2 linked regions of the Macaca mulatta genome follow. Each later gene encodes a partner of the first gene's protein in a complex. Links are inferred from orthologs where the notes say so. Each region holds a gene or a part of one and is shown in the gene's direction. Other genes may lie near its edges. The genes, in order: NUP58 and NUP62.

Region 1 (3,812 bases):
CAACATCTTATTTTAGCATGTGTTACCCAGGCCTTCTAAAAAATGTGTTTAAAAATATATATATTTAGAGCTGACTTTTTTTTCTTTTTTTAACTGTTTTAATCAAAAGGCTATGAAAAGGTTGGACATTTGAGGGGAAAGTTTCTTGAGAAACTGGAATATTTATTTTTAAAGTCTTTTCATCCATCTTCACATTGATGGAGTGTTTATTTAGATACTACTCTGTCTAAAAGCATAGCTGATTTATTTCTTTTTTTTTTTTTTTTTTTTTGAGGCGGAGTCTTCACTCTGTCGCCCAGGCTGGAGTGCAGTGGCACCATCTCGGCTCACTGCAAGCTCCGCCTCCCAGGTTCGCACCATTCTCCTGCCTCAGCCTCCCGAGTAGCTGGGACTGCAGGCACCCGCCACCGTGCCGGCTAATTTTTTGTATTTTAGTAGAGACGGGGTTTCACCGTGTTAGCCAGGATGGTCTCGATCTCCTGACCTCGTGATCCTCCCGCCTCGGCCTCCCAAAGTGCAGGGATTACAGGCGTGAGCCACTGCGCCCGGCCAGCTGATTTATTTCAAACAAGGCCTCACAAAGACAGTATTTTAGGAAGCATATTGTAAAGATAGGGAGTAAACTATTCAAGGGAGCAGTAGAACTCTTGAACTCATCACTTCCTACATGAAAGTGCATTATTAGCACTCTATTTGCAGTTCAGATTGAATGTATAATATTGGCAATGTCTTTGGTAACTCATGGTTATATTCATCCATGTATTACCATAGTCAATGTGGAACTTCATTTAGCCTTTTTGTTTATTTTTTATTCTTTAGGTTCTGAAAGAACAGTACCTTGGCTACAGGAAAATGTTCTTGGGAGATGCTGTTGATGTGTTTGAAACAAGGCGAGCCGAAGCCAAGAAGTGGCAGAACACACCCAGAGTTACTACTGGACCCACCCCTTTCAGCACCATGCCAAACGCAGCAGCCGTTGCCATGGCTGCAACACTTACACAGCAGCAACAGCCTGCTACAGGTCTGAACGCATTCAAGTTATAGCTTCTTACTGTTCCAATGCAGAACATTTATGTGCGTTTTTATAAGTCTTCCATTTGTGTGAGCACTGAAGAAATTTATATGAGTAGCTGTTCCAATACAATCTAAAATTGTGATGGACACAATTATAAACATACCTGATAAAAAAGGCAGGGTAGTCTTAGCAATAATTATACATCAATTAGATACTGAATATTGTGAATTTACTTAATGTTATTTGCTGTATTGCTATAAATGCCCTTTAGAATATGGTGTTTCACTAGTGAATTACATTTAAGAATAACATTAGATTCTGAAATCATGACTGTACCATTTATTGTTTTAAAGTCAGAGATCATCCATTCTTACATTGAATTTTTCATATATGATACTGATAGATGGTGCATTCTCATTTTCCTCATACATAGCGATTACCCACATTCAGGATGAAGTATGCTTTTATTGACTGAAGTTATGTTGAAGATCAGTAGGCTTGTTTGTATGTATGTTGACTGTAAACAGAATACAGGCCCTCTAAACCAACTTTTGAAGAAGATACATGCTAGAATTGTACCTTTTCAAGGTGAACAGAACAGCAAGAGCCGGAAAAAGATGTTTTGAGATGTGGATTGCACATTAAGCACAGGAGAAAGATGTTTTGAGATGTAGATTACACATTAAGGAGCAACTGAGAAGTTGAACAGATGAAAATAATCGGTGACATGGAAAGCAGATTGTTTTATTCCTTGGTTTAGTTACACTTCTAATTAGAGAAACATTTTTGTGGTCATTCTACAGTGCTTTATTTGGTCCTGTGTCTATCGGAGGTTAATAATTATCTTAATCCTGCCATCCCTTTTGTCAAGTTTGAAGCTTGAGATGGAAAAATAGTCTTAATTGATACAGATTTTTTTGCTTTAATCATCATAAACTTCTTAGTAATGCTTATTACTCAATAGCATGTGTCTTTCTGAGAGTTCCATATAGTCCAATAGTACATTATAATACAAAAAAAATTAATACATATTTAGATTGCATTCAGGCTACCTATACTAGGGAAGCATTCTCTGGTTTTCACTATTGGCAGTTTAAAACATTGTTCTTCACATTTGGAGTTGACAGAATTGACTTGCCATAAGTAAAGGGTTGATGATAGATTTATGTCAAATCCTCCATATTCCGTGGCTGGACCCGTGTGAGTAGTGGCTCGCATGAGCACTGTCTGGTAGCTCTCTAACTGAGTGGAGTGTAGCATTGCATTCTCAAGTTACGGAGGGAAAAAGTCATTATGGGATTAATTCCTTTGAGGATTGATACTTCTTAAAAGGAATCAATCCCATAATTATGACCATCAGCTCTCATTATTACTTAACCAGTTAATAGTTTACTTTTTAGAGCCAGTATTAATCCTAAAGTAGATAAGTGTAGGTTTGGTTAAGTGCTCTTTAAACATAGTGAATTTCCATTCTATTAAATAAAACTTGAGAAATGTCAGTTATATAAAAAGTTATGTTGTAAGTGAATATATTCTATGATAAATACCTAAACTTGAAGCAAGACCTCCTGTCAAGGGTTTGTGTGTGTGTGTGTGTGTGTGTGTGTTTAACTTTCTTATCTAGACAGTGTTATTTTGAGAAATTCATAGGTTTTCACTCATACATTTTGAGCTCGTGGACATATGGAGATGTGTGTTCATTCTCTAAATGAGTGCCTACTATGTGCTGGGCTCGGGAAATGCAAAGGTAGACAATATAGATTTGGTCTTTGTCCTCTGTGGTGGTTGAGAATATCAGCCTAATTTGGTGTATTCTTGAGCCTTTTGCTCATAGGCTTTAATTTTGCCTGTGACATTTGCCAGGCTTTGGGGAAATTGACTGCCTTCACTCTTCCCTGAAATTTTGAAGTCCACGTAAGGGCTTTCTAATCAGATAGCAGAAATTATAATTTATTAACCTAAACAACCTTACAGTGTTTTCGCTTTGAATTGTATGAATTCTTAGAACTGAGAAGCTAAACAATAGTGATAACAATTTTACATTATCTTTTCTTTCTCCTTTTGTTTCTCTAAAGGTCTCCCAGGCCTTCCCAGTCAAAATTTTAGTTATTTTAGTCATGTCACCATGATGTGAGATTTATGAGCTCTGTTAGATACATTTAGAAACGTCCCTATTTATTGAATGGTGTTTTGTACCCCGTAAGTTATCCCTTATGCTCTGTGACTTCTGTGAAATCTTTTAAGTGCCAGTAACAAATTTTAGACCATCTAGATGAAGGTAGAGAGAGCTTACACGTTGTTTTTATACGTCACTGTTTATCTATACAAGATTTGAGTTATCAGAGGGATTTTGCTTTTATTTGCATATGAAATTTTTATTAACATGAATATGGGCACAGAGCAAATAGCTTCTTAGACTGCTGCCTTCTGAAGGTGGCTTCTGTATCTTTCTCAGAGGAGGAGTAATAGACTTAAATGACTTCTTTGTCTTTCTTCATTTTTTTTTAAATGAAAAAATCTATATACTAGGGCTTAGGCACGTGTGATTTACAGTTATTTGTTCTGAAGGCTGCAGGGAATTAAAAATCCAGCAGGCTATTTGTGTACGAAATCATGAGCATCATTACGTGGATAACGTAGTTTCATGTTGGCAGAACTTGACACTTGTAGTGCTTCCCAAGCCTCCTGAAAAACTGAAGACATTTACATTAGGCTTTTCAGTATAATTTTAATTTAGGATAGGTTTTTTAGCAATGAACTGGGATTGAGTTTTGCTGTTGTGTTTTGACACTTTTAA
Region 2 (4,562 bases), on another chromosome or scaffold:
TTCCACCTGCCCTTACCTGCCAGGGGCTCTCCCCCCACTGGAAGCCCGCCCTCCAGGGCTCCCCCAAGGACCTCATAAGGAGCCACGGGGGCAGGGGCAGGGGGGAGTTTCCCATAGTCTACGAGCCATCCCAGCCCACTAGCTGGGAGCAGGGTCCTGTCCAGCTCCAGCCCCAGGGTGGCCAGGAGTGACATGGCTGTAGCACAGGTGCAGGGCGCTGTAGCACAGGTGCAGGGCACTGATGGCAACAGGAGCGGCTGCACCAGCAGCTGGGACGAGGCTCTGGAGGATGCTCAGCTGGATGAAGACAGGCACCAAGGCGAAAGTGGAAGACCTACACGTGTGAGACAAGAGTGGGTGGGGTCGTGGGGTCAGGAAAGCCTCATCCACCGGCCAAAATCATGGGGAAGCCAAGCCACACCCCCAGGCACGTCCACGGGGCTCCTCCCTCCCCCTTCCAACCACAGTTTATAACTAAGCCTCAGCCTCTCCGAATTCTAAATTTGCCCTTTCTTTACCCAAATCTGAGCCCCACCCACTCCCAAGGGAATTTCTTTAGGTCCTAAGGTAGGACCGATGCCCCACCCTTTCCCCCAATACAGAAACCTAAGGGTCTCCCAGGGGAATTACCTTAGGCCCCTCCCATCCACCTCAGAATATTCCGCTTCATGGAAAAACTCAATTCCAGGGACATTTTCTTCCAGCCACGCCCCTTGCCCTAAAATATTTCCTTTTGGCCCCACTGCCTTCCTAGCTTCCATCCCAAACCAGTGCCCAGGGGAACTGCCCCAGGCCCCAGCCCTTCAGCAATGTTATCCACTCAAATCCCACTCCTCGCTTTGCCACTGTCCCTCCAAGCCCCGCCCCTCATTGTTTATTTAGCTCCGCCCCTCTCCGATTCCCCAGAGGCCCCGCCTCTTTGTCCCATCGAAGCCCCACCCCTCAGCTAAAGGTTGGCTTAGCCCCGCCCCTTCTCACAATGGGCTCACGAAATCCCACCCATCGTGACGACAGTGGTTCTAGCCCCACCCACTTAGAGGGCTGCCTCTAAGCCCCGCCTTCTCCCCTGTCAATCTAAGCCAGTCCCCGCCTCAGCAGGTGCCTGGTTTAAAAGGAAGGAAGTTGGGCTGTGAGCCAGAGCAACGTGGAGCAGGGAGGGTGGAGGAGGGTAGAGGGGGCAGGCAGAGAACTGCTACCCGAACGCCAGCCGTCCACACGCGGCTATGCGCCAAGGGCCAAAGCGCATGCTACGTCTTCCGAGCTGTCCAATTGCTTTACACCTCCGCCTTCTTGGGGATCAGTGCGCATGCGCGGACACTCAGGGCCCGCGCTCATTCATTACGGGGCACTGGTAGGCTACTGCGCAGGAACAACCAAGCACGCACAGAATCGTTTAGAAAAAGACCACACCCTCCCTTGGAGTGCGCAGGCGCAGCCACACGCCGGCTGACAAACATCGAGTCTCTAGAACTCTCCCACCCGGCTCCGGGCCCAGTGCGCATGCGCAGCCGCGCGCCTTCGGCCCACCGTACCTCTTCTGCGCCTGCGCGACCGTGATTCCCCGCTCGCAGCTCCCCTCCCCCCAGGGCTCCCTAAAGAGGGCCACGAGCTGCGAAAGGGCGGGAAAGGCGGTTGGAGAGGGACAAGTAAGCGGTTACTCACTCCATGGCTGCAGAAAGGAGAGGCGGCGGCGGCCTCGGCTGAAGAAAGAAGGTGGGAGCGGAGAGCGCAGGCGTGGTAAGCGCGGAGTCGGGCTGGGGGCACAAAGGGGTCGAGGCTACAGAGCCATGGCTGGGGCTACGCAGGCGGAGGCGGAGAACGCTGTAGTTAGAAGAGACCGTGATCTGAGGACGGGGAATGAGGCGGCCCCGGGGACTGGGGACAGAAATACTTCGGGTGGCGCAGCATGGCCCGCCCGGATCCTTCCGCGCCCCGCCCTCGCGGGGCCCCAACTGGGTGGCAGCCCGGTCCCCTCCTCCTGGGGATCAGGGGATCCGACCTCTTCCTTCCCACTCCTAGGGTCCAGGCCCCTCCTCCCTTTTGAGCCAGGGATCCGGCCCTCTCGTAGCTCCGGGGTCTGGTTTCCTCCTAAACTCTGGTTTCTTTCTTTTTCTGCCTGTGAGGTCTGGGCCTGCTTCCTCCTGTGATTTTGTGGATCCAGTCTCATTCTCTTCCCGGAGACCTGCACCATTTAATTTCTGTTTCCCTTTCCCTGCTTGCAGAATTTCCTGCCAGCCACACTTTTCATGTTTTCATCCCCCAACTGCTGACCCCGAGAAACCCTCGTGGGTTAGAGTCCAGCGTGAGTCACAGCACTCTCCCAAACACAGACCTACCAGGATGGCCTCGGGCAAATAGCTTAAGTTCTCTTGCTTCATTTCCCTATCCGTAAAATAAGAAAAATCAGCTCTCCTGGTGGGTTTATGAAACTCAAGACGGTGTCTGGCAAGCCTTATGCACAGAGTTCAACTCATACGTTCCTGTTCAATTTTTTTTTTTTTTTTTTTTTTGGTGAGATGACGTCTCTCGGTCTCTGTCGCCCAGGCTGGAGTGCAGTGGCGCGATCTCGGCTCACTGCAAACTCCGCCGAGTTCACGCCATTCTCCTGCCTCAGCCTCCAGAGTAGCTAGGATTACAGGCGCCCGCCACCACGCCCGGCTAATTTTTTGTATTTTTAGTAGAGACGAGGTTTCACCTTGTTAGCCAGGATGGTCTCGATCTCCTGACTTCATGATCGGCCCGCCTCGGCCTCCCAAAGTGCTGGGCTTACAGGCGTGAGCCACCGCGCCCGGCCTCAACATATTTTATTGGGGCCCAGCCTCACTTCTTCTTTCCCCCTTACAAGAGCCGCAGACGTTGGACTGTCTAACTCTTGCTGTCGTTCTTCTGTCTCCCTCATTCCTCTGAAGTGTCTGTTTCCGGCCATCCTCATCTTCCGTTCCAAATGATGGGTGCCCAGGCCCCATCCCCTGGCAGGGATTCAGACATCGAGGCCCCAGCTGCGTCCTTTTCTCCATCCCTTGCCCTTGGCTTCCTTTCAAACAGTCCTTAGCTTCCACGGGATAGGAACTATCTCCCAACCCTGCCAAAAATGGAAGATCTCCGTTTCCCTTTAGTCAGAGGGTAGCCATCTTGCCCCTTCTCATGCACAGGGCCCTCCACCAGCCGAGGTGGATGTCAGTCTTTTCTCTCTTGCAGAAACCCACTTTGTCCCATCCACGTCAGGACATCCCAGCTGGAGTTCAGCCTTCATCCCTTCTGTGGCAGTTAGGAGACTGAATCAAGGTCCAGAGAAGGTGGAGGAATCCTGGTATTGAGCGTTTTACACAAGCTTCTTTCTCCTCCCTTACTTGTCGCGGGCAGGAAGCCCTTCTTGGGATCTGACCACCTTCCCTTAGAGCACTTATTGTCCACTTTGCCAGCTTTTGAGCACCTGCCCTATATTTCCTTGAGCTTGTAGGGGTTGTGTTATCACTGAGACAGTATACAGAGTAGCAGCTAAGAGCATAAACTGAGCTTGTCCCATCCGTGGGCCTGCATGTGGCCCAGAATAGCTTTGAATGCAGCCTAATACAAATTCGTAAACTTTCCTAAACCATACGAATTTTTTGCGAGTGTTTTTTTTTTTTCCTTTTGAGCTCATCAACTATCATTAGTGTTATTTTATGTGTGGCCTAAGACAATTCTTGCGATGTAGCCCCAGGAAGCCAAATTTTATACATCCTTGGCATAGACTCTGGAGCCAGATTTATGAGTTCAAAACCTGACTGCACCCCTCTTATTAGCTGTGTGACCGTAGCCATTTCCCTTCCCGGTGCCTCGGTTTCCCCTGTGGTACAAGGTGGTGTTAAGAGTACCTGCCTCTGGGCCAGGCACGGTGGCTTACGCCTGTAATCCCACCACCCTGGGAGGCTGAAGTGGGCAGATTGCTTGAGCTCAGGAATTCGAGACCAGCCTGGGCAACATGGTGAAACCCCGTCTCTACAGAAAATACAAAAAAATAGCTGGGTGTGGTGGTTTGTGCCTGTGGTCCCAGCTACTTGTGAGGCTAAGGCAGGAGGATCACTTGAACCCTGGGGTGGGGCAGAGGTTGCAGTAAGCGGAGATTGTGCCACCACACTCCAGCCTGGGTGACAGAGTGAGACCCTGTCTCAAAAAAAAAAAAAAAACAAAAAAAACAAAACTGCCTGCCTCATAGGGCTGATTAAATGAGTTAATCCGCGTCGAGCAGTTAGACTAGTGCCTGGGACACAGTAGGTGCTGCATAAAAGTGGTTACTGTTACTGCTATAATTAAGGTGGATGTGTTCTCATTCCATTGCTGTGCAGTAAGTCCAACTTCCTTCCACTTCTCAGTATAGGTTTTTGAGCAAAAGCAGATGGAATTAAGGGTAGACTGTTGGACAGACTGCCAGTGGTAAGGACGCAGAGACGTGCCCTACCCCAGCCCCCCACCGGCAGAATCTTCTCCTAAGAAGACCTTCTAGCTTGTACTTGGGAACTGGGTTTGGTTTGGTTTGGTTTTGAGACAGAGTCCTGCTCTGTCGCTCAGGCTGGAGTACA

The links.
Region 2: NUP58 (region 1) and NUP62 share a complex: the UniProt entries of both Homo sapiens proteins name them as parts of the p62 complex. The link is inferred for Macaca mulatta from reciprocal best matches to the Homo sapiens genes NUP58 and NUP62.

The regions. Positions count from the first base shown.
Region 1 is NC_133422.1:5,561,788-5,565,599, forward strand, and holds part of NUP58 (nucleoporin p58/p45), read left to right. Parts: intron 1-819; coding exon 820-1,021; intron 1,022-3,812. UniProt on the Homo sapiens protein: Component of the nuclear pore complex, a complex required for the trafficking across the nuclear membrane.
Region 2 is NC_133424.1:62,390,384-62,394,945, reverse strand, and holds the start of NUP62 (nuclear pore glycoprotein p62), read left to right. Parts: upstream 1-1,660; 5' UTR 1,661-1,737; exon of another isoform or gene 1,738-1,859; intron 1,860-3,198; exon of another isoform or gene 3,199-3,310; intron 3,311-4,055; exon of another isoform or gene 4,056-4,200; intron 4,201-4,562. Other genes in the region: ATF5 (cyclic AMP-dependent transcription factor ATF-5), read right to left, coding at 17-194. UniProt on the Homo sapiens protein: Essential component of the nuclear pore complex. The N-terminal is probably involved in nucleocytoplasmic transport.